3 linked regions of the Schizosaccharomyces pombe genome follow. The protein of the gene in region 3 interacts with the protein of the main gene of each other region in a biochemical or structural test. Each region holds a gene or a part of one and is shown on either strand. Other genes may lie near its edges. The genes, in order: pcm1, pct1 and cdk9.

Region 1 (10,932 bases), on a different chromosome or scaffold from region 3:
GATACTTAGAAAACGGCATAAACATGCCATCGTCTTCATTCATAAAATTATCAGTAGGATCATTAGCAAACAAAAGCAATTGAGTTCGACAAGGAGGGCAAAAGTGCGTTTTTAATGCCCGGAAATTGAATTCTTTATTCTAGTTAAAAAAATTACAACTGTAAAATGCGTTTAAGCAGTGTATTTACGCATACATGTATTCGTACACTCCATATATATCTATCTACATACATTCCTTTTCTTTCTTACCTTTATAAGGAATCATAACGTAATTAATGTATTCTAAAATTAATGAAGTGCGCTGCTTTGCCTTTTACAAACCACAAAATTGGTTGATTATACTTATTTTTCATACCAAGATGTACTCTTTTTAACTATAATATATAATACTAAGCATAAAAATTGTCATATAAAAAACGCCAAAAAAAGAAAATATTTTTAATAATTCGTGCATGTATCAAAGCAGTAAAAAGAGACACTGCTGACTTATAATTAGATTAATATCTTTAAAAAAACGGAGTTTGTTAACGAAGGAATGCGATAGACTCGACAGAATTAAAAAGGGGCTCGTTTTGTGCGCTGTGGTGAACAAAAAATATTAGAACCGCGTTTCATTCTTATTTAATTTTTTTGTTATAAAATATCTATGAATTATTAAATGAATCCATTTGTCGTTTCTTTGTTGCTTTTTTCATTCCGTTCGTTGATTATTTGCCAAACTCACTACCATTCAACTCATACTGTACCTATACGTAGCAACTACCTCATACTACTGACTTGAACGTCTTATATGCTTGTGGTGTTGCGTAGCCTTTAATTTAGGTTTTTTACTTATTTCTTATATTATTAATTATCAGTCATTCAAGTTTTTTCACTGTTTAGAGCACTTGCTTCTCATTTGCAACTTGTCATCCATATCTATCTAGCTACCTCATTTATTCGACAGTTAAAACATCAGCCTAATCCTTCTACCTCCCTTCTTTTACTTTTCTCATTTTTATCTCGTTTCAGCTTTTAACTGATTTGCTTACATCTGTATTTTGTAGCGTGCCAAATGATTACAACACTTGCCATTGCTCTTTTCATTGCTGTGGTCGCCATCCATTCACATATACGAAGAAAAATATGCAAGGAAATTGGAATTCGACTTATCAAAAAGATAGCCCCTGTGAAAGCTAGTTTATACAAACAAGTGGGCGTGGAGCCGAAACTAGCAAGAACCGTCGGGTTTTTTCATCCTTACTGCAATGCTGGAGGCGGAGGTGAACGAGTATTATGGACAGCTGTCAAATCTGTCCAAACGGAGTTTCCAAATGTTATTTCTGTTGTGTATACTGGCGACAATGTTAGTAAAGCCGAAATTCTGCGCAGAGTCAAGAATACATTTGAAATCGACCTGGATTCTTCCAAAATAGTTTTTGTTTATCTAAAACTTCGTTTCCTTGTGTCCGCCACTACTTGGCATCGGTTTACATTGCTTGGACAATCGCTAGGAAGTATGATTTTAGGTTTCGAAGCTATTTATCGATTTGCACCTGACATTTTCATTGACACCATGGGATATGCTTTCACTTTTTGTGTCGTTAAAAGCTTCCAAAATATTCCTGTCGGCGCGTACGTTCATTATCCCACGATTTCTACCGACATGCTAAAGTCCTTAAAACAAGTATCTCTACTTGCTAAGGTTAAAATGGCTTACTGGAGATGGTTCGCTCAGTTGTATTCAGATGCCGGATCTCATGCGGACTATGTGATGACTAACTCTTCATGGACGAGAAACCACATTGCATCTCTTTGGGGGAAAGATATTCAACTCTCCGTTGTTTTCCCCCCCTGTAACACTTCAGAGCTTGAAAAGATCGACATTAACAGAAAGCGCGAACCCACTCTTCTTTATCTTGCACAATACAGACCTGAAAAGAATCATGAAAATGTACTTCGTAGTTTTGCTCTCTATTTTGAACAGCATCCTGATTCTCCAGCGAAGCTATTACTGGTCGGTAGCGTTCGAGGTGAAGAAGACATGTGTTTTGTGAATCATTTGAAGACCCTTGCGACTGAACTCAACTTACAATCAAAAGTCAAATTTGTTGTAGATGCTCCTTGGCCCAAGGTAGTTGAGTATCTAGGTACTTGCTCTATAGGTGTCAATTACATGTGGAATGAGCATTTTGGGATTGGTGTCGTTGAATACATGGCTGCTGGTTTAATACCTGTTGTCAACAATTCGGGTGGCCCAAAGTTCGATATCGTGATTCCATGGATTGGAAAGCCTACAGGTTTTCATGCTAGCACCATTAGCGAATATGCTGAAGCCTACCATAAAGCTCTTACATTGAGTCCTCAAGAGCAATTAGAGATGAGAATCAATGCTCGTTCAGCTTGCGCTCGTTTTGGCGAACACGTTTTTATGCGCGATTTTGGAAATGTGTTTGCCAAACTCCTTCGTGAAGATTACAGTCGTACCTAATATGTTGTTGTCTATACTGTTTAATTCATGAAAGATGAGGCATTTTTTTTTAAATCCTTTCGTTTCTACTTATTTGTTAGGTGTATCCTTATAAAGTTTATTACTGTTTTTGTTTATTAAACAGTTTACTTTCCCTTTTTTTCGATGAATTTTTAATTCTTCATTACTTCTTCTCACATAATAAATAACAGTTTGGGGCATTAACGTTGTCAATTACAGGCTCTTAATCACCTCTTACGATGTGTATTATTAAATGAGAAGCCCTCATTCATTGTCTCTTTCTTACTGCTTTTAATGCTGTTGTACCAGGTTGGTACTTATTTCTTAATTTAATTGATTCGCTCTTTTGATATTCAAGTAATTCATATCAAATATTCTTGAATAAGGAAATTTGAAAATTATAATTTTCTCATAAAAAATACAGCATAAAATCAGGCTAGGCCGGTACGAAGTTAAGTGCTGACAATATTGTGAAAAGCGAAACTTAAACAAGTACTATAATGCCATTGTAAAACTAATCTCCATACTAACTAGTTTACCGTTAAGTTCGTTGTCGATAAATTTTTACTGAATGGAAATGGTCTTCAGCTAAGAATGCTAACATTATTTTCTGGTAATAAACCTTGACAAACTTGACAACGTAGGTAGGCATTCAAAGAAAATCATAATAATCGAGAACACATTATTATCACAATCAATTAACAATGAGAAATTAATGGTATACTAGTTGTTTAAGGAAAAGCTCACATTCCTATTACCTATTCATTCCAAAGTTCGCGAAAAGGCTATAAAAGGCAATTAAATAGGCTATACCTCCAAAAGAATACGTCTAGCAATAGTTTTTGAATAGGAGAATACGGTAAATGGGTTCTAGGTCTGAAAAATTAATGCACGAAGTTTTTGAACTTCTATACTAATTTTTTATTCATCCCATGAAATTCATTGAATGCTATTTGATATGAGTTTACATAAGTGCGTTGTATACCATTAAGGAAATGCAATACGGTATACGCTAAGTTTGAGAAACTTTTTGTCGTGATAAATAGAATCATTTTAAGTATATATCTTCAGGCAATGATGAGACCTCAGTTCTTTATAAAATAATCAATCTCGATTGCATTTAATTGTTAACCATTCAATTGCAAAAACTATAGCGAAAGCTAGTAATGTCGTTAAGTTTCGTTAAATCAAATCGTATTGTTAAGTAAGTGAAGGAATTTTGTTCCAAAAGCAAAACACCGCTTCTTTTTTAAGAAGAAAATATAGGGGAGATTATAATCAAGAAATTGATTTTTTCCGAGTTGAATTCAACGGAATGTCTCTTAAAGTTCAAAATCCGAATAATGTACGGGTTTACACAGTTTCTGGTGAAGGCGTAACCCAACGCTTACCTAATTGGATTAGTAAAAGGAAATTGAAGAAAGATTATGCTTTGTCTCATAGGATTGAACTTTTACAAGATTTTGAATACCCTGAGGCTAGTAATCGCATCAAATGCACTCGAGACGGCAAATATGCAATGGCAACTGGTGTGTACAAACCTCACATCAAGGTTTTTGACTTTGCAGAAATGTCTTTGAAGTTTGAAAGACACACAGATGCTGAAAATGTTCAGTTTGAGATTCTATCAGATGACTGGACCAAAAGTGTTCATTTACAAACTGATCGAACGGTCGATTTTCACAGTCAGGGCGGAATTCATTATTCTACTCGAATTCCTAAATATGGAAGAGATTTGAAGTACCACTATCCCAATTGTGATTTATACCTTGCGGCTGCTGGCGATGAAGTTTATCGGTTGAATTTAGAACAGGGTCGATTTTTAAATCCTCTCAAAATTGAAAGCGCCCAAATTGACAGTCCGACTGGTGGTGTTAATGTAATAGATATAAATCCTATGCACCAATTGTTGGCTTTTGGGACAGATGCTGGCAGTGTCGAATTTTGGGATCCTCGTGATCGCTCTAGAGTTGGAATACTTGAAATTCCTAGCACTGTACCTTCTACTCCTTATTCCGACAATTCTCGTTCTGTAACAGCTTTAAAATATAGGAACGATGGACTTAATGTTGCGATTGGCCTTTCAGATGGTGCCACCCTGTTATATGATTTACGTTCTTCAAGTCCTTACATGAGCAAAGACCAGGGTTACAGCATGCCCATTAAATCTCTTCACTGGATGGATAGTGCATTAGATGGAACTGCGAGGGTACTTTCTGCTGACTCTAAAATCATTAAGATTTGGGAAAAGGATACAGGGAAGCCTTTTAGCTCTATTGAACCTACGGTTGAGTTGAACGATGTTTGTCCCATTGAGGGTACTGGTTTAATTCTTACAGCTAATGAAGGTTCTCCTATGCACGCATTCTATATTCCATCGTTAAATCCTGCTCCCCGTTGGTGTTCCTTCCTCGATAATATTACAGAAGAAATGGAAGAAAATCCCGCGCCTACTATTTATGATGATTATAAGTTCGTAACTAAGAAAGAACTCCTTAATCTCGGTTTAGATCATCTTGTTGGAACAGGTGTTATTCGTGCTTACATGCATGGTTTCTTTATTGATAATAATCTGTATGAAAAGGCAAGACTGATTGCTAATCCCTTCTCTTATGAGGAACATCGTCAAAAAATTGTCAAAGAACGTCTGGAGAAGCAACGTGCAAGCAAGATTCGTTCTCAGAATCGTCCAAAAGTCAATGCTGGATTGGCATCTCGATTATCTTATCAAGAGAACAAGTTGCGTAAGAAAACTGGCGTTACGGACGGACCTAGCATCCTTGAAGACGAACGTTTCAAAAATGTATTCACAGATAAAGAATTTGAAGTGGATGAAGATACTTTGGAATATAAGCAATTACATCCTTCTAGGTCTGAAGCAAGGGGCCTTACTGCTGCGGAAGAGTCCGAAGAAGAAAAGGAACATACCAAGGGTATTAAGTTTAGTTCTGATGAGGAGTCACTGTCTGATATGGAGGAAGAAAATGAAACCTTCGATGCACTTGTTGACAGAAGAAAGACGGAGCAGCAGGTCAGCAATGAAAAGACACCTCAAGAAACCATTCGTAGTACTCCCTCTGGTATGGAAATGACATTCAAGGTTGAAAAGAAAAAGAAGTCTAAACCTGTTAATCGAGACGAGGATTCAACGTCTGGCAAAAAGAAACAAGTTACTCAAGGTCGACGTTCAGCTAGCAAAAACGTTTTCCGAAACATGTAACCAAAGCACGGTAGAACTGTCAAATTTGTGTTTACCACTACTTGGCGGATATAGAAACATTTGCAGGCGTGCATACATTATCTGTCACTTTTCATAAAAAATTTCTGTGTTGTATACATCTTCATTTAGCTTTATTTTTGGTTTAGCAAGTTGGTATTTGGGTTTCGCATACGATGGATTCGTGTGCTCAAAAAATTAATTTCGGTTTTTAATAGGTAAGCAATAAGCAATTTAATGAAATATCTACTTTATGTATCTATCATTGTTTTATGATTACTTCTTGTTGCAATCTGGCAGTAGTAGATTAGTCGCCCAAAATTTCAAGTTTTGTTTATTTATTTATTTAGAAGCAGGTTCGTTTTTTATATGTAAACTAAATTTGGCTGAATTGAAAACATTGTCAACAAATTATATATATCTTAGCTGTGGTAATGTAAAGAATCTGGTAATCCACTTCGTATTGCAACATCTACTTTTCTCGCCAGTATACCAACCACACTGCAACCTCATGCTATTGAATATAGTCTAATTTCTCTAAGACAGTAAAGCAAGTTTTAAAAGTCATATGTTTTTGATCTTTTTTAAAGAAGTTTCTGTTTTTTGAATTATTTTGAAGAAAATTATTTGTATGTAAGTTTGTGATCGATGGATAGTCATCATATGATGGAAAGATCGTTAACCTTTGAAAGAAACTATTCTCATTTATTTATAATAATATTTATAATAAGAGATATGAGCAGCTCGAACTCCCGAGTGCATGAGGAACAGCCTCCAACAGAAAATCGCAGATATGCGAGACCTACTGCACAAATGAATCGAGTAATTGAACAACAACCAAGGCGTCGCGATTACTTCCAAAACAATGACAACTCTGGTCGCAGAGGTTATAATAGGCATGAAAACAATGGTAATGCGCAGGATGTGGTACGTTCACACTATAACGCGCGTCCTGATTTGGGTTATAAAAAACGACAATTTTCTCCTATTATTCAACTAAAGAGGTTTAACAACTGGATCAAATCTGTTCTCATACAAAAATTCGCACCCCATGCTTCTGATTATCCTATTTTGGTACTAGACATGGGATGTGGAAAAGGTGGTGATTTAATTAAATGGGACAAAGCTGGCATTGATGGATATATTGGGATTGACATAGCTGAAGTTTCCGTAAATCAGGCCAAGAAGAGATACCGTGAAATGCATGCTTCTTTTGATGCACTATTCTACGCTGGCGACTGTTTTTCTAGCTCAATTAACGAATTACTTCCCCCAGACCAAAGAAAATTTGACGTTGTTTCTCTACAGTTTTGCATGCATTATGCATTTGAAAGCGAAGAAAAGGTTAGGGTCTTGTTGGGGAACGTTTCTAAATGCCTTCCTCGTGGTGGAGTAATGATAGGAACGATTCCCAATTCCGATGTAATTGTCAAACATATTAAAATGCTTAAACCAGGAGAAAAAGAATGGGGAAATGACATATACAAAGTCAGATTTCCTGAATCACCTCCACGCTCTTTTCGACCTCCGTATGGAATTCAATATTATTTTTATTTAGAGGATGCTGTTACCGATGTTCCTGAATATGTAGTTCCTTTTGAAGCCTTTCGTGCTGTTGCCGAAGGATACAATCTTGAATTAATATGGGTAAAACCTTTTTTGGACATCTTAAATGAAGAGAAAAACTCTGAAACGTATGGACCCCTAATGGATCGAATGAAAGTCGTTGATAATGAAGGACACCGTGGAATTGGTGGACAGGAAAAAGAAGCAGCAGGATTTTATTTAGCATTTGCCTTTGAGAAGAGGGGAATTTAGTCTTTTCTTTCCTTATCCCACTGATTCACTGTGCAGACCGCATTGTAGAAAGATCTTTCACGCTCGAAAGATCAGTACAGTGGTAGAAAAAAAGATGACTTTAAAAGATGTAGATTAATTTTTGATGGCAATGACTTTTATTTATTTATTCATTTTTATGCCTTTATTCTTTCTTTTTCTGTTTTCATATATTTTATACATAAGTAACATGCTCTCTTTCATTCCAGCTTAAGCGAATAAATAAAGTATGCTCCCAGGCATATTTCATCAAATCAGATTGCCCCAAAAATTGCCTCAAATATTAAGCGATAGCTTAAATCAATGCACCTGTCGGTATTCAACTACCAGCATCCACTGCTACTCTTCTTCCATTTTTTCTTCAGCAACAGTCAAGTTAAAAAACTGGAACGTTTTAATTGATTTGAGAGAAAATTTCTTATGGAGTAATCGATTGATTAAATGATAAATTCACATTGCGCCCTTTTTTAGTCTCGATTGATTAAATGAGTCATCTGCTTTTCGCGTATTACCTTTGCAACGACATTCGCTCATTCCAAAATCTACTGAAGCAAGATGATTCAAAGGTGAAAGAGCCTAGAAAGGGTTTTTCGGAAAAGAGCGGACAAAAACTCCGTATCAACCAAAAAGATCGATACGGACGCACCGTGCTGCACATCGCCGTTTCTGAGAATAAAAATTCCTTTGTTAGATCTCTTTTGCAGCATAAAGGCATTGATGTTTTTGTGCAAGATGAAGAATCTGGATATACGGCGTTGCATCGGGCAATCTACGTTGGCAACTTGGAAGCAGCGTCTTTGCTTTTATCAAAAGATCCCTCCTTCAGATCATTGCGTATTAAAGACAAAGAAGGTCTTTCTCCATTTCAATTTTTATCACGAGTCCTTTCAAGCACTATTCATCCGGTTCTTGACTTACCGATAATAGGAAATGAACTTTATGGCTTTGGTACTAACGTAAACAATACGCTCGGAATAGCAAATGGGAAAGAACCTTCATCGCCAGAAAGAGTGTTTTTACTGAAAAACCAAACAGAGTCTCCCACATCAGGTCAACTCTTTTCCCGAGACAAAATCCTTGATGTGCAGGCTTCCAAATTTCACAGCGTCGTACTAACGGATGAGCCGTCGCAAAATGTTTACGTATGTGGTATTGGTGCTGGAGGGAGAATAGGTTTTAACACGGACGTTCAATATAACTTTATTCCTATTCCTGGTATCATTCATAAAGTTATCCAGATTTCTGTTAGTCATACCCATTCACTTGCTCTTACAAAGTTCGGAAGTATTTATTCGTGGGGAAAGAATGGTTCTGGTGAACTGGGACTTTCTAATGACGAACTGAAAAAGGATGATCCAATTCAAATTACCCCTAGGCGTATCTCTGCATTCAAGGATTATCAGATAATTGGAATGGCGGCTGGAAAAAGTTATAGCGTTGCTTGGACTGACACTGATATTTACAGCTGGGGGTTAAATAATGGCCAATTAGGTATATCTGATCATATTTCAGTTGTTTCTACTCCAAGGAGAGTTGCTGGCTTATTATCGCCTGTCATACATGCCGTTTGTACTACTCGTGCTACGATATGCCTTTTACAAAACAACAGTATAATTGCCTTTTGCAATTATAATCAAGTGAAATTGCCATTCAACGTTGACTTTGGTAGTTCGTTAAAGGTAACTAAGCATCCTCTTTCCCTCACCAGATTTAACGTTAGAAAATTATTAGCTTCAGAAAACAAACTAGCCGTGCTTACAGAACTAGGCGAAGTCTATGAATTTGATATGAAGCTTTTACTTGATCGTGATTCTACCTCTTCCAAGAATTCCACACGAACTTCATTCAAATTTACTCCATTATGGATTTTTGAATCTTCAGACCTTGCAGCTTTAGATATTGCGTGGACCGCTGATAATTCTTTAATACTATGTACTAGAAATGGCACTTGTTGGAAACGGGAGTTAAGGTCAAAAAAGCGAGAAAAGTCATCTAGTAGCCCGTATTCTAGAGGACCATACAAATATAATAGAATTGAAAATTTACAAATGGTTGTTGGAGTCCGTGCGAGCGCTTCTGGATCATTTTTTGCAATTCGAAATGATTATCTTCCACCGCCAATCTACAAGCCTTCGAATATGTTAATTGATCTTTTGCGCTCACTACTTCCCTATGACCACCTTTTACATGTAAGACAACCACGTTTGATTCCTCCCGAAGATGAAGACGGAGTCCCTATTTTTGACGAAGACCGCGCTGCATCCAGCAATGAGATGCAGCTACTTTTTGAAGGATCTATACCGATTCTTACTAGTTATGAAAATTATAAGCAATCATTTTCTGATGTTACTATTTATTGTGGTACTTCTATGTTCCACTCACATAAGTTCATATTGTGTGCTCGATCTTCATTTTTGAGAAAATTATTGCTACAAAAAAAGAAATCGAGTGTCTCCAACATCATTTACATTGAAGAAATCACTCAATCTCATTCAACAATTAGAGTTGAAGATATTCCTCCTTTAGCGGTTGCTATTCTTTTGCATTATTTGTACACGGATACATTGCTTTCTCCATGGCATCTTGATTCACGCTTTTCACCTTTAAAAGAAAACCTTTCAAAACTTGCAAACTTACTGGAGTTACCTCATTTAGCGGAGGTTTTACCGTTTAGTGTTTCCCGCCAACCTTTGCTTTCTTTAACGAATGACATTCTGCAACTATATAATAATTTTTATGTCTTATGCGAAGAAACAATGGATACAGTAATAAAGCTTAAAGATGGAGAGCTCAAGGCACATGGTCTTTTTTTAAGTCTCCGCAGTGAATACTTTAGTTCTTATTTCCAATTTGTTTCTATGGAAAGCAATAGTTTTGACATCCCAATAACCGTCAATTTGTCTCATTTGACTGTTGAGCATATGTCAATTGTTCTTCGTCATGTATACAGTGACTTAAAAGTTGAGCTTTTTGACGATTTGAAAGAATCCGATTTTCATAATTGGTTGGAAACTATGTTCGAAATTTTGTCTATTGCAGACGAGCTTCTTTTTCTTGAACTAAAAAGCATAGCCCAGCAATCCTTACTTCGCTTTTTAAATTTGAAAACTCTACCTACTCTAATGGATCTTTCACTTAGTTATCACGCTGAGGAGCTTTATTCACGATGTATTGATTATGCTTGTCACAATATTGAATTCTTTTTGGAAGCAAATCGTATAAGTGAATGGGATGGTTTCCATTTAAAAAAAGTCGCTCAACGTTTAACTGAATTGCTTTCTGATCAACGAGTACATCTTCCTTCTAGCAAGATTGCTAATAGATTATTGATAAGAGATCCAGTGTTGATGGAAAAAAGAAATTATGAGCTTAAAGTTCTCAGAGAATACTTGTTTTCCCAGGAAAGTTC
Region 2 (11,908 bases), on a different chromosome or scaffold from region 3:
CGTCGTCTGTAATCATTTTTTTAACATTGCTTTCAAGTACAACACTAGAAAGCATCCTTTTTGATCTAGGGTGCCCGAAAGGCTTCCATTCAGTGGCCCAAGCCGTGTATATAGTAGTCTTGTTTTTTTGAGCACTTTGCATGAATTTTTGAGCTTCTAATAAAAGTTCGGAAAAAATTCCACGATCTCTTGAAAGAGTGGTAAGAGTAATTGTCTCCCAAGGTGTTCCAGTTGTTAAATCTTGCAGACGATTGCTACGCTCTCGTTCTACTTGAATCCAACACTTTTTGTACTTTATGTAATGCTTTCCAGGACCTGGAACGAGGCTGAATATACGATTTGCAACTTGCTTGTCAGGTTTTTCCCTAGCATTTTGCGGCATTTTGAGTTGTCTGTTGCTTTCAACAGCCAGCTGATTTGAATAGCGTTTAGGCACCGTGCTCATCCAATGCAAAAAGGCATTATAACTTTTTTCTTTGCTTGGAATTTCGACAGACACTAGCATCCTTCTTTTTACTAAGCTTGCTCCTGAAATAAGCCCACGACGTAATATGGCTAGCCCAGCACCGAAACCCATTAAACCAATACCAGCACCTAAAAATGAATTTCCACTTAGTAACCCAGAAATGCCAGAAGACGTCGCTGCATCGGCAGCACCTATATTATCCATTTTTAAAGTGGAAAGACGATGAGAAGAAGGGAGGAAAGTTAATATTAATTTAATTCTTCAACGTAACGATAGCGGTTTCTTGCATATAAAGGAAATTTTTGGTATAAATAATTCATAGAAACAATTAAACCTTTATGAATATAATCAATTCTTTACGGAGGACATGTATAACAAAATATTGTAGTAAATCAAATGTCAAAACGCATATGTCAAAATGACCAGTAATTGATAGGTTTCAAACAAAAAAGAAATAAAATGTTCAATGAAGAAATTATATAATCCAATTTTATTGGAATGTTGAGAAAAAATGGAGGAGTTTTTGGTATGAACGAGGTTCTGGGTGAGGTTCATGTAGCCAACAATTTAGTGCTTTGCTAAGAAATTCCAAAAGTCTATGACTTCCGATAGGAGCGAAATAGATATGTTAGAACTAAAGAATAGTATAAAGCTAATTACATGAAACTGTTTTTCACATTGTTAATGTTTGTTTTAAACTTTTAATACCAGCTTGAAAGGTTCTGCTTGAAATAGAGAGAGTAACTTTGCAAAATATTTAACTTTTGACATTGAAATATTTTATGTAAAATGTTGGAAGGATGCATCTTGCTAGTGTTTAATATTTCCAGCCTACATGTGTGTGTTTACTACCCAATTTTTTAGAAATTGTTGCGAGTCTGGAAATCTAAGATCAAAAGTAAAGTATCATATCAAACCTATCCAGTGACAGCAATTGAGTAATTAAGAAAAAATTTCTTCCGAGGTCGCTTGATCTGGACTTTAGAAATGATACAAATGTTAGAGCCTGTAAATAAATTTTTTAATGACTTGATCACATTGATGATGGTAGCATATAATAAATATTCAGAACAAAATAACTGCATATAAATTTGCATTTCACACTAAGATAAGTAATTGATGTAGAACATATACATCCCGATTCTTCATGGCAGAAAAAACGCTTGCAAGTATGTTAGTGATTTGCAATTTTGCACTTGATGAATATAATTAAAAACTAAAGCTGCATCCAAAACATAATTAAATCGAGGCTGATGTATAATATTAATTTTCTTACAGGTATTCGTAAGAGATCGTACTTTGGAAAAAAACTAATGACTTTTAAAATCATTGGGCATACTTTAGTATGAAATTCAAATTGTATTTTGAACTGAGTTGGTGATTATGTATATGCACACTTTCTTTAAAAGATCAAAGATTTTGACAAAGAAAATTCTCTTGGCGAACAAAGAAACATCAACAAAGAACTTGGGAGGAAAGAAATAGTCATTGTTAAAAGCTAAGAAAGGAAAAGTCTTCGAATTTGCCAAAACATTAAGAAATTCTTTATATACTCAAATCAATGTATTTTAACCCACTTGCACTTCTTATACAGGTTTTTCAAGATGCATTTATATTTACATATACTGGTTACCCTGCTATCAATGTTCAACATCATATTCAAGCGTTTTCAAAACCAAAAAAGTTATACTTACAAACCTTGAGTTTTTCATTTCATTTCTTTTTTCTTTCGAGATCAATGAACATACTAAAAAGAATTCATTCAAGCTGAACACCTTCAATGCCTTTCATTGTTTAAAGACTTTATTATATAATTGTACATAATTTAACACAATACAAGCAAGTCCCGAGTGGCTCAATCGGTTTAGAGCGTCTGACTCTTATGATGGTCATCAGAAGGTTGCGAGTTCGAGTCTCGCCTTGGGAGGTTATTTTTTAATGTCTATATCTTACAAGTCCTTCTTATGTTGCAGTAGTGTAAATTACCGTTTTTAACCATCGTGCAACGTGGAACACAAAATTGACTAAATTAGGAAATCCCATTTTCAAAAACTATTATTGACTTCATAAGTTATGAAATGAAAAAGTTTTATACAACAGATCAGATGATGATGAATATTGTGCTAGCGTAATAGCATCTCCACTTTTCATCTTTGGAAACTTTTGCAAAGAAGGGATGTGAAAAATCAGCCTTCAACTTATCCTTTCGTAAGTGCAGCTCCACTCCACCCGGGGGTATAGAAATTACGAAACATCTTGAAAAAACGTCAACGAATGCATCAACAAGATCTTAGCATGTTTCGGATATGTCATGGTAAAGTTCGATTGCTTTGTGCATCTCCGTTAGCAGCTGCATCAAGCGAGTATCCAACGATGATCATCTCGATTCGTTTTGTGTGTTCATGAAACCCACGCCTTGCGTATGAAGTTGCCCACTTTGTATGACAATGAGATAATCTTACACTGCAATAAGGCCATATACCCGTAGTTGTTGGTACGACCACTCACATTCCAAAGTCCAACTCAATAGTGAAGAAATTCATCATTGGCAACAAGTCATCAACACTTCGTTGCTGTTGGACACTTCTACCAAACGTTCTTTATTGACAACTTTGAACGGCTTCGGCTGCATTCCCGAGCCCTGTAACGCCTATCTTTCATGTGGCTCGGAATGTAAACCAGAAACTCAGACAAATACCGCTGTTGGATCGCACTGATGATATTTGTTTATCGAGGCTGTGTTCATTTTTCTTAGTCATTTTAGCGTAACGAACTGACACCGAAAAATATCAAGCAATCAAGTAGATCCATCTGTCCAAGCACCAACCACATCTTTGCTCGATAATCAAACTTGGATTACCGATAGTTAAAGGTGAAGGATCGGTTTTGCTGGTTTCATTCGATTTTCCAAACATCGTCGATTCAGTAGACTGGGGTTGAGTCAGTATCCAAGCCATTCTTGCGCTCAATTGATAATTATGGTAGGTTACCCAAATGTTGTATGCCAACTGTATTACTTACCCGTGGTTATATTTTGAAAACAGCGAAACTGTGTAAACAATTTCTGTTTGTTTCTCAATTGTTTGTGGCGTACACGTATTGCAGCTCTCAAGTTGCTATAGTATATTTTTATTGTCTAATAAAAATTTAATGAATTTATTTAGTTGAAATATTTGCAGTAAGAATGTTCATGTTGATATACCATGTAAAAAAGTCACATAAAGTTGAGCAAGCTGAAAAAGAATAAGTTTTCGCCTCCAAATATAAAAATTTCAATTAAATTGTAGAAAATTATAGATTCTTTATAATATCGTAATTTCTTAAGCGGGGCCTATAGTCTTTCATCAACTTTTCACGACAGTCGTTGTTATTCATACCATAGGATGAAGACGATTTCAAACATCCAATATTCGCTTATAATGATGAAATGAACTTCAGTAACCCGTTCAATACATTCATTATATACTGAGATTTCATCTATTATTGAAGCAAGTTTCAATGTTTGGCATGAAGCCGGCTCTAACACTTGTCAGATTTCAAGTACCTGTTTTCATTATTTTTTTTGCTCAAATTTTCAAAAAAAGTGTAATGGCATGTGTTATCAGATATGGTATGCATCATGTCCCTGGTTATCCCCGAAGTAGAACGGGTTCTTGACCGTGCTACCAAGTCGTGTTACTTTTCGATGAAAAACTGGAATTCCCTGCTAAAACTACACGAGTAAAACAAGAAAAAATATTCATCTATTGCAATAACTTGCTCCTAGATTGCCAAAACGAGTACTACGTAAACAAATGTGAAAGAAGCAGAAAAGACTGCTAAAGTTGCTTTTAACGAAAATGTAAATAAGAGAAGAAAAGACAACTTTAACGGTTCGATTTTACTACAATATGAATATTAATTAAACTTCATAAAGCGAAACTGAAAAACTAAATAAAATTTGCTCTACAGCTATAAATCAGCTGTTAATATTCAAGTTTTTATCAAGACAGCACTATGAGCCTGAGATTACCACCCTCAAGGACTAGAAACCAAGTAGTGGATTGCTTCCGTTCCTTAAGTCATCCTATCGTGATCCGCCGAAATAATCGTAAGCCTTCAATACACTCTTCATATGTTCCCTGATCAAGTCCAAGTAGTGCCCCACCCTTCCCTACTCTTGAACACTTATATCCGCTCCTCCAGCATTCATGTTGTCCTCTGCCAAACTTATCTTGGCCAATTCCGTCTTTTGGACTACTCTGCATAAGAACTCAGCATTGTTTTCGATTTTAGGAATTGCTGGGATCCTGTTTGTATTAATATTGTAGATCGATATTTTGAAACATCTGTAGGCCTTCTATATAGTGGGTTGTTCTACATATTATTTATTTATTCATTCATCTTTCTTTGTTTTACTTACTGTTCTCCATATTTTTATCTGATTATACAGGGTTTGAATTAAAATCCGTTAGTTTATTTTATTCTACCTTTTTCAACTATTTGACCGCCCCAATATTTCCATTTTTACTTTCTCCTTTCTTGTTTCTTCTCTCTTTTAATTTATGAAAGTTCAATCCTTATTCGAATATCATTAACTTAACCTTTATTGGATTTATACATCACGAATCTTATACACTTTACATACTTTCTTTATTTTACGCTCCCCTTCGTTTCTTTTTCTTTGTCTTTACCTTTTTTTATTGCTGTTACTCAAAACGTCTTGTAACTTACATTTGTTATTTGTGTTCTTGTGCTACTTCCCATTTTTTTTTCAAGGTCCGTCTATTTCCGTTCCACGTTTCACTTTTCTGTTCTACAATACACTCAGAAAAGTGCTTTAGGTTATTTATGAGGCACTCTTATTTTATTAATTCGTTTCCAGTATCTATTTTGTGATCACACCCTATTTTGTATCGTGGTGTCATTCACTTTTTCCTTTACTTATTCCAAATTTCATGCTACTTTTTCGACATTTATTCTACTTTTCATCATAAGTATTTCAGATTTTCTGAAGTTGCTATTATTCAGTCTGCAATTTTACTTTTGGAAAGCCTTTTCCCTTAATAAAAGGTTAGATTTGAATGGTGAAGCGACACAAAAATACTATTGGCGTATGGCGTCTTGGGAAGACTTTAGGGACTGGTTCCACTAGCTGTGTGCGTCTTGCCAAGCATGCTAAAACTGGTGATTTGGCTGCCATCAAAATTATCCCTATTCGATATGCCTCCATAGGAATGGAAATCTTAATGATGCGTTTGTTGCGCCATCCTAATATTCTTCGACTATACGATGTTTGGACCGATCATCAGCATATGTACTTAGCACTCGAGTACGTCCCTGATGGTGAGCTTTTTCACTATATACGCAAACATGGACCTTTGAGCGAAAGAGAGGCTGCGCATTATCTTTCCCAAATTCTTGATGCTGTAGCGCATTGTCATCGCTTTCGCTTTCGCCATCGGGATTTAAAACTTGAGAATATTCTCATCAAGGTAAATGAGCAACAAATTAAAATAGCTGATTTTGGCATGGCCACTGTTGAACCAAATGACTCTTGTCTTGAGAATTATTGCGGCTCTTTACATTATTTGGCTCCCGAAATTGTATCTCACAAACCATATCGTGGAGCTCCTGCTGATGTTTGGTCTTGTGGTGTCATCTTGTATTCATTGTTGTCGAATAAGCTCCCCTTTGGTGGTCAAAACACAGATGTTATTTATAATAAGATTCGCCATGGCGCATATGATCTTCCTTCTTCAATTTCTTCGGCTGCGCAAGATTTGTTACACAGAATGCTAGATGTAAATCCAAGCACGCGTATAACAATTCCGGAAGTTTTTTCTCATCCATTTCTAATGGGCTGTACATCATTGAGCTCTATGGATAGCACTACCCCTCCTACCCCTTCACTGTCAATTGACGAAATTGATCCATTAGTAGTTGATTGCATGTGTGTGCTTTGGAAAAAATCATCCTCTAAAAAAGTCGTTCGTCGTCTTCAACAGCGAGATGATAACGACGAAAAATATGTGTATAAAGTTTTATCCGAGATTTTGCGCGATGATATGTTGAAAAAACAACGTTTTGATGAAAATAAATATCTCAGTCTTTACGATTTAATTCACGACAATAATCTTTTCACCAAAGCTTCTATTTCAACAACATCGTTAGTAAAATCCAATGTTTCGACAAACTCTCGCAAAAGTAGTAATTTTGAAGATGAACTTGCTAGAAGAGTTTCTAGTCCGCTTTCAGCCTTAAATCAAATGTCTCAATCTCCAATACCGATCAGGGTGTCTTCTGACAAGGATTATGACAGCTATGCCTGTCATGAAGTAGTTTCAAACCCATCGACTTTGGATGATGACTATAATTATATGTTTGTTTGTCCACCAGAAGAGTATACTTATTCAACTGATAATGTTAGAACTGATTCTCTGGACTTACAATCTCTCCCCACTCCTACCCTTGAGCAATTAGAATCCGTACCATTCAATCGGTATGGCTATGTCCGCATCTTTCCTAGCACCACTCTGTCTAGCACAGCCAGTGGCTACTACACTCCTGATTCACTTTCAACTCCTGAACCATCAATAGATGGGCTAACCAATTTGGACGATGTCCAGGTTGGAGGCTTTGTTCAAGGATCAGGCAATCAAAATAGACGTCCCATATCTTTTCCTGTAATCAGTAATATGCAGCCGAACATAACTAATGTGAGATCTGCTTCTGCTCCTTTATGTTCATCTCCAGTTCCAAGTCGGAGATATTCTCAATATGCTACTAATGCAAGATATACTCCCAGAAAAGTTTCTTCCGGTTCTGTATTACGAAAGATTTCTTCATTCTTTCGGAAGGATTAAATAGGAATTTTTTCAAAAACACAGTCTTCTTCCTCAAAATCAACCATTAATGTCTATACTGTGGGCGGCTATTCAAATGTTAAGATCTGTTTATAATTTAATGAGGATGATAATTATTTTTTTTGGATCTCCCGTCGTGTGTACCTGTACCTTTCTACGAATTTAATGATCTTTTTTGGCAATTGGACCTTTGAGTCTATTAGCAATTTAATGGTTTTAGGGTTTTACGTTATATATCTGTTAATGATTTGGGCACACTAGTTTATATATGTAACTAATGAATATCTTCTATTACAATCGCTTTCCAGAAATCAGTAGTCTGTATAAAGTAAAATTTTGTTGTGAACATTAGTTTTATATGAAATTTGGGTGTTTTTATGTAATAACGTCTGTTGGTTTTTGAAAATTGTCGAATATTCCGGAGTGTTTAGTAATAAAATTGAGGTTTAAGAGTTATCGCAATAAATAAAATATGAAGAAATAATTCCTATAAACGTTTACCTCTTTAGAAAGTTTTTATACACTGTCTACGTTTATATATTAGGTATGTTGTACGGTGTATATCTTGACTAAATGTAAACAAACGCGACGCGCCGTCAACCGCAACGTGTCGCGTAACTTCAAATTTATATGCAACGCCAGTATCTATTGCAAACACTCATTCCCAATCAAGAATTCTATTGTCTGTGAAATTACACAGTTTTATAGTTTAAACATGAGTTTTTTCGTTCAAAAACTTTCTGAAAAAGCAACCATTCCTACTAAAGGCTCTGCAAATTCTGCTGGATATGATTTGTACGCGGCTGCTGAATGTATAGTTCCAAGAAGAGGAAAAGTTTTAGTGGATACCGATTTGGCAATTGCTGTTCCTGAGGGGACTTATGGTCGTGTTGCTCCAAGAAGCGGATTAGCTTCAAAACATAGCATTGACACTGGCGCCGGTGTGATTGATGCAGATTATCGTGGCCATGTTCGTGTTTTACTTTTCAATTACAGTGATGTTGATTTTCCTATAAAGGTCGGAGACCGGATAGCCCAACTTATTTTGGAAAGAATTGTCAATCCACCAGTCATACTTGTAGAGAGCTTAGAGGCTACAGTCCGCGGTGCTAATGGCTTTGGAAGTACCGGTGTTTGAGGCCGCTTTTAAAACATAACCTGCAATCAAAGGTTTGGACACTTGTATTTTATAATGCTATTTTGTATATTCGGTATGAAAATTCTTCAATAAATATTTTTATTGGGTGAAGTAACTGAAAACTTTGCAATTAAAGGAATATAGGAGTTGTAAGCTGCTCTCGTAAAGATACAGTAATTATAACGAATGATGTTATCAGACAAAGCTGATCCTTAATTTAGGTGTACATTTAGAAAATGTACGTAGAAATTCTAACTACCCGTCGTAATAGGTAAAAAAAAAAATAGAATCATCCAAGATTAAGCCTCAGTTTAGAATCACCGAGATACAAAATCGAAAATTAAAATATGTGCATGGGGGTTTATACCTAACGTGACTTTCTTTTACCTTGATTATTGCCCAGTATGAAATGATGATTAAATTAAAGTAATTAAAAACCCCTTTACATTCTGATGCAAAGCAAGGAACAATTATTAAGAAATGACTTAAGAATGTCAAATAAGTAGCAAAAGTGTAAAGAATTAAGAATGCTCTCGTCTCAAAATACGAACATTGTCCATAAACAACTGTACCCTCCGAAACAAAGGAGCTTCCATTCCATCTTTGGCCTTTTGAGCACGATCTCTCAAATCCGCGATGTTACCAAACTCAACTTCTAGCTCATGACGTTCAGTGGTATCGTAAACTGGGTCATTTTGAGTAGTTTTAGTCAAATCAATTTTAATTTCCTGATGCACATAGCCAACGCGATCTTTAAGTCGTGTCAAACTTGGTTGTTGATTACCTGAAGGCATTGAAACAGGTAATTCGTCGCTGATGGAAATTCGTATATCAAAAGCATCATTAGGGCAATATAAAAATAAATCAGCAACTCTTCGCTTTTTCACACAGGCCAAAACTTGATTGTCACTTTGATTTTTTGAGACGCGTATTTTATCTCGTGAGTTATCTTCAGTTTCATAGAACAAATCTACTTGCTTTGTATGCTTATAGGCAAAAGGAAGCCGTCCAGGTTTTTGTGAATCACGAAATGCCTGATTAAGAAACTCATTCAAATATTTATGCTCGGAAGCGGTCATATCACTTTCAAACCGAGTACGAAGATTAAATTCCGGGTTTAAAATAGTTTCATTCATCACCGGAAACTCAAATCGATTTTGAGTTTCCAAGTCAATTAATGTACCAAGTTTCGCCTCAATCTAAAATAAGAAAAAATCAGTTAGTAGAACGTATGACTAAAAACATTTACCAACCTCCACATGTTCAACAGGTTCAGTTATCAAATAATGTGTAAGAAAGTTTGAAATAACTTTAGTCGTATCTGGAACAATCGGTTTATTTAAGAAGTTCATTTCTATCTTTGGTACAGCTACGGATTTTGTCCTTTTTCTTTCGACTTTATCGTGTTCCACAGCATTTTCATCTATCTTTCTTTTTTCAATAGAAGGCAGTTCGTTTTCTTCATGTAATAAACCTTTAAGGTCCATTCGTGATGAATTCGTACTTTTCTTAGTTAATATGGTTAGTAGGTGTACTCACTTAACGTGTACATCCACGTTGCTAAGTTTGTCCCAAAACTGAAGTCAACTAAATTGTTCAATAGCATTACTTTTAATTATACATTTCTTCTTGTAAACATATTAATTGATTCTGACACTGTCACTTTCGGTAGTTCCTTTTTGCCGTTTAGTACTTAGTATACCGACAGGTTGTTTAACATATGCAAAAAGGATATATTAAAAATGGGATTTGTTGAATAAAATAGTTTGATGTGAAATTTTATCAGATATAATACGTATGATTACCGTTAAGTATGAAAACCGTATAGAAACTTACAATAACTTTATAACCGTTCGTGTCGATTTCGTACCTCTATCTGGATGAGTTAGGTTAGGCTACGTTCGTAATTTGTTTCAGGTATAAATCAAGTGTATCGATGTGTTAAAAGTGTGGAAGTAAAGCTATATTGAACTTATCAAACATTGCTAGCTAAGATGACAATGATGTTGATCTTCTTGTCAAAAACTCAAATACTCGCTTGGCATGTTCAAATGAAGCTACTCAAGATGCTTGGTTTAAATACCTCTTTATATAATTTTCAAACTCTCAACTATCCAGTTTATTGAACTGTTAAACTATCAAAAATTAGTAAAGTGTGATACATTGTAAAGTATGCTATTAACTAATAAGCTATTTATTCAACCCAGTTTTACACACACAATTACTTAGCTTTTTTTGAGCCCTCTAAATCAGTTTAATAACTGTAGTATTAAGCTTTTCCTGGATGTTTTACATACGTTTACAAGGTATGATATTTGACTAGATCTGCTTGCTAGAGCATAATAAATACACATTTGCACACATCAATTGTAGCAATTGTTTGTAAAATAACCTTTCCTAGATAGACAAATTCAAAAAATTTTAGTTGGAATTTTTATCATTAATCTTCTGATTGAAAATATATATAGTTAAAAGTCTAGCTTATCAAAAATATAGACTTTAAATATGAAAATTTGTTACGATTTATGTGTTTTTCCAATATAGTAGTTAATATACAAAACGTACTACGTATATAATGATATTATATTAAGCCATTTTGTGTCGTGTGTGTTATCAATAACTAAACATTCATGAGCACAACCACAGCGAAACGCTCATGGGCTTAACTTCTTGGCTATTTGGAGGGGGGAAGTCCCCTCAAGAACAGCTGAGGGCTCATCAGAGATCTCTTGGTCGAGCTGAACGGGAATTGGATCGTGAACGAACGAAATTGGACCAAAGGGAGCGAGCGCTTATTCAAGAAATTAAAGGTAGTGCAAAAGCCGGAAATACTGGTGCTGCCCGTATTCAAGCTCGGGATTTGATGAGACTAAGGAATAGCCGTAAGAAAATGATGAATGCAAAAACGCAGCTACAAGCTATATCTTTGAGATTACAAGTAAGTCCATTTGATTGATAATCTTCACTATATGAGATTTTTTAAATTTTTTCGTTTAACCATAATGCTAATCTTTTTATAGACGATGAGAACCAGCGAACAGATGATGCAGAGTATGCGAGGTGCTACCAGGGTAAGATTACACTAACCCCATTGTTTATTTCTTCTTTCTGATTTATGGAAGCCGTAAATAATCAATTGAGGATCTTCTGGGTTTTAAAAGAAAAGAATTTCATAATGACTTTCCTTTCACCTTAATATCGAAAAATATAGAACTAACTTTTACAAAGTTATTGACAGGGATGAACAAAAGCATGAATATACCGGCAATGGCTCGTATCACTCAGCAATTCGAGCGTGAAAATGAAATTATGGAACAGAGACAAGAAATGATTGATGAAAATATGGACGATGCTTTAGAAGAAGATGACGAAGAGGAAGCTGATGAACTTGTCAATAAAGTGTTGGATGAAATTGGAGTCGATTTGTCTCAAGGATTGCCAGATGCTGCGACCCAAATT
Region 3 (5,115 bases):
CAAGTGTTTCACATTGTGGTAATTGGATTGCGTCTTTATCTCGCTCTGGGCATGTCTTAATTCGAAATTCTGAAACCCTCGAGCTTCACCATGTGTTCCTTCTAAACGCTCAATTCATTCAAAAGGTTGTATACTTGTTATGGAAACCCAATTTAGGAGCAGAAAAATGCCATCAAATTTGTGTTGCCTCAGTTGATAAAGTGTTTGTATTAGATATTGTACAACACGATTATTATGCTAGCATACAGTGCGACCAGGATCCTTTGAGTAGTATCAGCTGGAGCCCGTCTGGAGAACTGCTTCTCTGGTCGTCCTTTGATGTACGTTGTATCTAATAAAATTTGCACAACTTTTTGCTTATATATCTGCGATGCTAATAGCAAATTTTTTAGTCGAAGATTACTGTGTGGTCTTTAAATACCCAGAAAGGTTATTTGCTTCCACATGTAAAAACCAATGTTTCGAAAGGTATTTCTTGTCTGATATATCAATTTACTGACTGTTTAGTTTACGCTTTACATCCATCCATGCAATTCTGTACTATATTATCTCGTTTTAACGGTTCGGATTGCCTTCAATTTTACCAAATCAGCAAAAAGGCATGGATACTTCTTAAAGAGTGTAAGCTTCCTACAATAGATTCGACGGGTATCCATTGGTCGCCAGATGGAAACTGGTTAGCTGTTTTGGAAAACGTATTAGATGCAGTTGTTTATATTTATCATCGCACCGGTCTTCTTTTTCACGAATATCGACCAAATAGGTTAATTGAAGTCGGCTTTTCCGATTTTGAGTGGAGTCCCTTTGGCAAATATCTAACTTTGTGCAGTTACCATGATTCAACCTTACATCTACTTGAAACAAAAACTTTTAGTATAGTTTTTCGACTTCACCATTGTTTGCAATATACCAATACTGACTTGGAAATGCATATATGGGAAGAGAAGGAAACAATCTATGAGCAACAAATGACTTATCAAAAAGTACATAAACTCAGAACCGATTTCCCAGAACCCTCCTTTTGTTCAGCATCAAAAATACGTTTCAACTGTGATGAGACGTATGCTGCTACAATTACTTCTAAATATCCTAATGTTCTTTGGCTATGGAATTTACAGAATAAAAAACTGCACACTGTTCTTATTCAAAAACATCATATAGTGTATTTTGAATGGCATCCAGGTCGTCCCGATTTGGTGGTCATTCAAACAAAAATTAGGAAAGAATCCAAAATTCCGTCTAATGCTACATTCCTATACTTCTGGGCTTTAAGTTGGAATACACCCAGGGTCGTTGGAGTTCCAAAAAAAGGTTTTAATATTCAGAAGGTTCAATGGCTTCAACCATCAGAATTCAGTTCTCGTCCAGTTATAGTAATTTGTGGTGAAGATGCATATACCGTTGCTTACATTGTGGAAGATGAAGATGAATCATTTACCGAAGTTACTCAAACTATAATTTCTCAAGAAGTTTTAGATAATGAGTTAGAAACAACGCAAACGATTTCCATACCATCTTAAGGGATTTACTTTCTATCTTAAAAGTCTTAATTATTGTAACCATTTTTAAATATTCTTTTTATTTTACTAACGACCTAATTAATTCGCTTAATGTCTATAATATTTTAATGCACGTTCATTGTTCCCGCATGTAAAACATGAGCACCCTGAGCACCCCGTCAGCTTAAGGCCTTTGCATACCTCTTATAGTTTGAATGTCTTTTTCAGTCTATTCAACTATCTTTTTCTAAATTTAGTACGTACTATTCCTGAGTTTTAATAACTACTCTTTCCTGATTCATAAATTGTAAACTTTGCGCATTTATTTGAGATTAGGGAGTCCTTTGAAAGATATTTAAAACTAATGCAACTTTTTCCCTTTATAAAAAGCATTGTTTATTCTCTATACTTACAGTATTGTTTTCTCATTTTGAAACATAGCGCATTTTACTTCGCCTCCGTATTTAATGCATATAGTTGATAGTTGGGTCCACTTCCACTATATCCTCATCAGATGCAACATTTCGCGCATCGATCGGGTTTATACTACAATTTGTATAATTAACTTTATTCACTAATCGTTGGGATCTTTTGTATAATATAAGTTAAAAAAATGAAACGCTCAAGCAGCGTTTCTGTCGAAGATGAGAAATCAGCAAGGAGAAAATTAGATGTCGTACCCAAACTTCATTTTGTAGGGTGCAGCCATTTAACGGATTATCATTTAATGGAAAAATTAGGAGAAGGAACATTTGGGTATGTGTCAAATATCTGATTTTGAATTTTATCACTAACTTGGTTCACCAGCGAAGTTTACAAATCGCAGCGGCGTAAGGACGGGAAGGTATATGCGCTGAAAAGAATACTCATGCATACTGAAAAGGAAGGTGTAAGTAGATGTTTGTTTAGATTCTTGTTCATTTTGACAGAATGACTTGGGACGCATCGACTTGATTGCGTTAATTGTTTTAATTAATTCATGAATAAATACTAAAGCATTACATTTTAGTTTCCCATTACAGCCATTCGCGAAATAAAAATTTTAAAATCGATTAAACACGAGAATATTATTCCATTATCTGATATGACTGTTGTTCGTGCAGACAAGAAGCATCGACGTCGTGGTTCTATATATATGGTGACTCCTTATATGGATCATGACCTTTCAGGTTTATTAGAAAATCCAAGTGTAAAATTCACGGAGCCGCAAATTAAATGCTATATGAAGCAATTGTTTGCTGGAACCAAATACTTACATGATCAGCTTATCCTTCATAGAGATCTTAAAGCTGCTAATTTATTGATTGATAATCACGGGATTTTAAAAATTGCCGATTTTGGTCTCGCACGTGTGATAACGGAGGAGTCATATGCAAACAAAAATCCTGGCTTGCCTCCACCTAATCGTAGAGAATACACTGGATGTGTGGTTACACGCTGGTATAGATCACCAGAACTTTTGCTTGGCGAGCGTCGTTACACTACCGCTATTGATATGTGGAGCGTGGGATGCATCATGGCCGAAATGTATAAAGGAAGGCCAATCCTTCAAGGAAGTAGTGATTTGGACCAATTGGATAAAATCTTTCGCCTTTGTGGATCACCAACTCAAGCTACTATGCCAAATTGGGAAAAGCTTCCTGGGTGCGAAGGCGTTCGCTCTTTTCCTTCACACCCTAGAACACTTGAAACTGCATTTTTTACTTTCGGAAAGGAAATGACTTCTCTTTGCGGTGCTATTTTGACCCTTAATCCGGATGAACGTTTATCTGCTTCAATGGCTTTAGAGCATGAATATTTTACAACACCACCATATCCAGCAAACCCTTCTGAACTACAGAGCTACAGTGCTTCTCATGAGTACGACAAAAGAAGGAAAAGAGAACAGAGAGATGCTAATTCACATGCGTTTGAACAAACCGCTAATGGTAAGAGACAGTTCCGGTTCATGACTCGTGGACCTAGCGATCCGTGGTATGGAATTCGTCGGCCAAATTATAACTCACAACCGCAATACCAACGTGGTTCGTACAATCGTGAAGGCGGTAACATGGATAGAAGTCGTAATGTTAATTATCAGCCTAAGCGTCAGCAAAATTTTAAACCTTTAACGTCTGATTTGCCACAGAAAAATTCCGAATTTTCTGAAACTAACGCTATGAATCAAACTTCTAATCATTCTCATGCAGACGGTCAACGCTACTACCGGCCTGAACAAGACCGATCTCAACGATTAAGAAACCCCTCGGATTACGGCCGTCAAGGAAGACAATCTTCCCAGTCTCAACAACCAGCATGGAATGTGTCCTCCAGATACCAGAATAATAGCAAAGTACAAACGACATCTCGAGCAAGCGAAAATGCGGATACCAACAAAACACAACACAATATTAAGTACATTGACTCATATGTTCCTGAATACTCAATTGCTAGACAATCTGCCAACCAAAAGACCAACGAGCAACATCCATCTTCTACTAGCTTGCACCAACAATCCACATCTGATCTGAAGTCACCCTCTTTTCATGAAAATTCCAACGTTGATGACACTCCTAAATGATCCATACGAATGTGCTCTTTTTACTTTTTGGCTTTCTCTTCATATCTTAAATTAACTTAATTTGCTGAGCATCCCATAATATTTTTAATGGCCTTTCCGCGTGATGGCGACTGTTCATTAAAGGCCAAAGTTGGTTTTCTAGCTCAAAATAAAATTTAAAACAAAAAGGAAAAAGCAAAGAAAATTAATTATATTTCTTTTTTCTTTAAAAGCTTGACCTTAGCAAATTGAGCACGGAGATTTTTATTTGTATTATTTATTTACTAAATTTATAATCTTAAAACATGACTTGTAAGTAATGTATTGGAAAGAAAATTACTTTATTTTCAACAAAACTGCTTTTTTCCTTGCTTGTGTTTACATATTTACGGTATTTTCTTCCCTTCCCATACCCATGTTTTGACCTCGGTTAAATACCTCTTGTTTGTATACGGCTTGACCAGCCCTCTCCCACCTACCTACTACAAAACCCGTCATCCAAAAACAGAGTCAAAATAACACAAATACCATTAATAATTACCTAATAAATATAATAATCAGTACTCTAAAAATTATTAAATTGTTCAAATGGTTGAAAATCAAGGGAATGTCGAAGCACATGGTAAACCCAAAAAGGTCATACTTAGCCTTTCATTAAAGGAATCTTCAAAAATTAATGATTCTCAAAATGTTTCCAATGTGTCTTCTAAAGAAAAATGCGAAACTGAAGCATTGCTTCGTGAAGAGAATAAAGAAAACCTGAGTAGTGACAGTATACGACAAATGATATTTGGAGATGAAATGGCGGGCTTTGTGGATACTGGTGAAAAACCACCGTGTTCTTATGCTACATTAATCGGTTTGGCGATCCTACAATCACATAACAAGCAACTGACTTTAAGCGGGATTTATACGTGGATTCGCAACACGTTTCGCTACTACCTCAACCATGATGGTGGTTGGCAAAATAGCATTAGGCACAACCTTTCATTAAACAAAGCCTTTATCAAAGTAGAAAAACCCAAGGGTAAAACTTTAAAAGGTCATTATTGGACAATTGATCCTGACCATATGCAG

Evidence for each region.
Region 1: the proteins of cdk9 (region 3) and pcm1 form a complex in vitro, tested with the Schizosaccharomyces pombe proteins (one study listed by BioGRID).
Region 2: the proteins of cdk9 (region 3) and pct1 form a complex in vitro, tested with the Schizosaccharomyces pombe proteins (one study listed by BioGRID).

The regions. Positions count from the first base shown.
Region 1 is NC_003421.2:123,509-134,440, forward strand, and holds pcm1 (mRNA 5'-cap (guanine-N7-)-methyltransferase Pcm1), read left to right. Parts: upstream 1-6,184; 5' UTR 6,185-6,320; intron 6,321-6,379; 5' UTR 6,380-6,422; coding exon 6,423-7,505; downstream 7,506-10,932. Other genes in the region: GDP-Man:Man3GlcNAc2-PP-Dol alpha-1,2-mannosyltransferase Alg11, read left to right, coding at 1,055-2,470; rRNA processing protein Enp2, read left to right, coding at 3,786-5,690; BTB/POZ family ubiquitin-type ligase substrate adaptor Btb1, read left to right, coding at 8,009-10,932.
Region 2 is NC_003424.3:2,675,168-2,687,075, reverse strand, and holds pct1 (RNA 5'-triphosphatase), read right to left. Parts: upstream 9,991-11,908; 5' UTR 9,937-9,990; coding exon 9,703-9,936; exon of another isoform or gene 9,649-9,702; coding exon 8,971-9,648; 3' UTR 8,450-8,970; coding exon of another isoform or gene 8,027-8,449; 3' UTR 7,785-8,026; downstream 1-7,784. Other genes in the region: bcs1 (iron-sulfur protein assembly ATPase), read right to left, coding at 1-670; cdr1 (serine/threonine protein kinase (NIM1 family) Cdr1/Nim1), read left to right, coding at 5,530-7,311; dut1 (deoxyuridine 5'-triphosphate nucleotidohydrolase), read left to right, coding at 8,027-8,449; ESCRT III complex subunit Did4, read left to right, coding at 11,106-11,387, 11,470-11,520, 11,678-11,908. UniProt on the Schizosaccharomyces pombe protein: First step of mRNA capping. Converts the 5'-triphosphate end of a nascent mRNA chain into a diphosphate end.
Region 3 is NC_003423.3:1,468,568-1,473,682, forward strand, and holds cdk9 (P-TEFb-associated cyclin-dependent protein kinase Cdk9), read left to right. Parts: upstream 1-2,000; 5' UTR 2,001-2,112; coding exon 2,113-2,255; exon of another isoform or gene 2,256-2,306; coding exon 2,307-2,388; exon of another isoform or gene 2,389-2,508; coding exon 2,509-4,059; 3' UTR 4,060-4,615; downstream 4,616-5,115. Other genes in the region: wdr8 (WD repeat-containing protein), read left to right, coding at 1-320, 393-468, 508-1,520; DNA-binding forkhead transcription factor, meiotic Mei4, read left to right, coding at 4,627-5,115. UniProt on the Schizosaccharomyces pombe protein: Component of the positive transcription elongation factor b (P-TEFb) which consists of cdk9 and pch1, and which phosphorylates the C-terminal domain (CTD) of RNA polymerase II and spt5.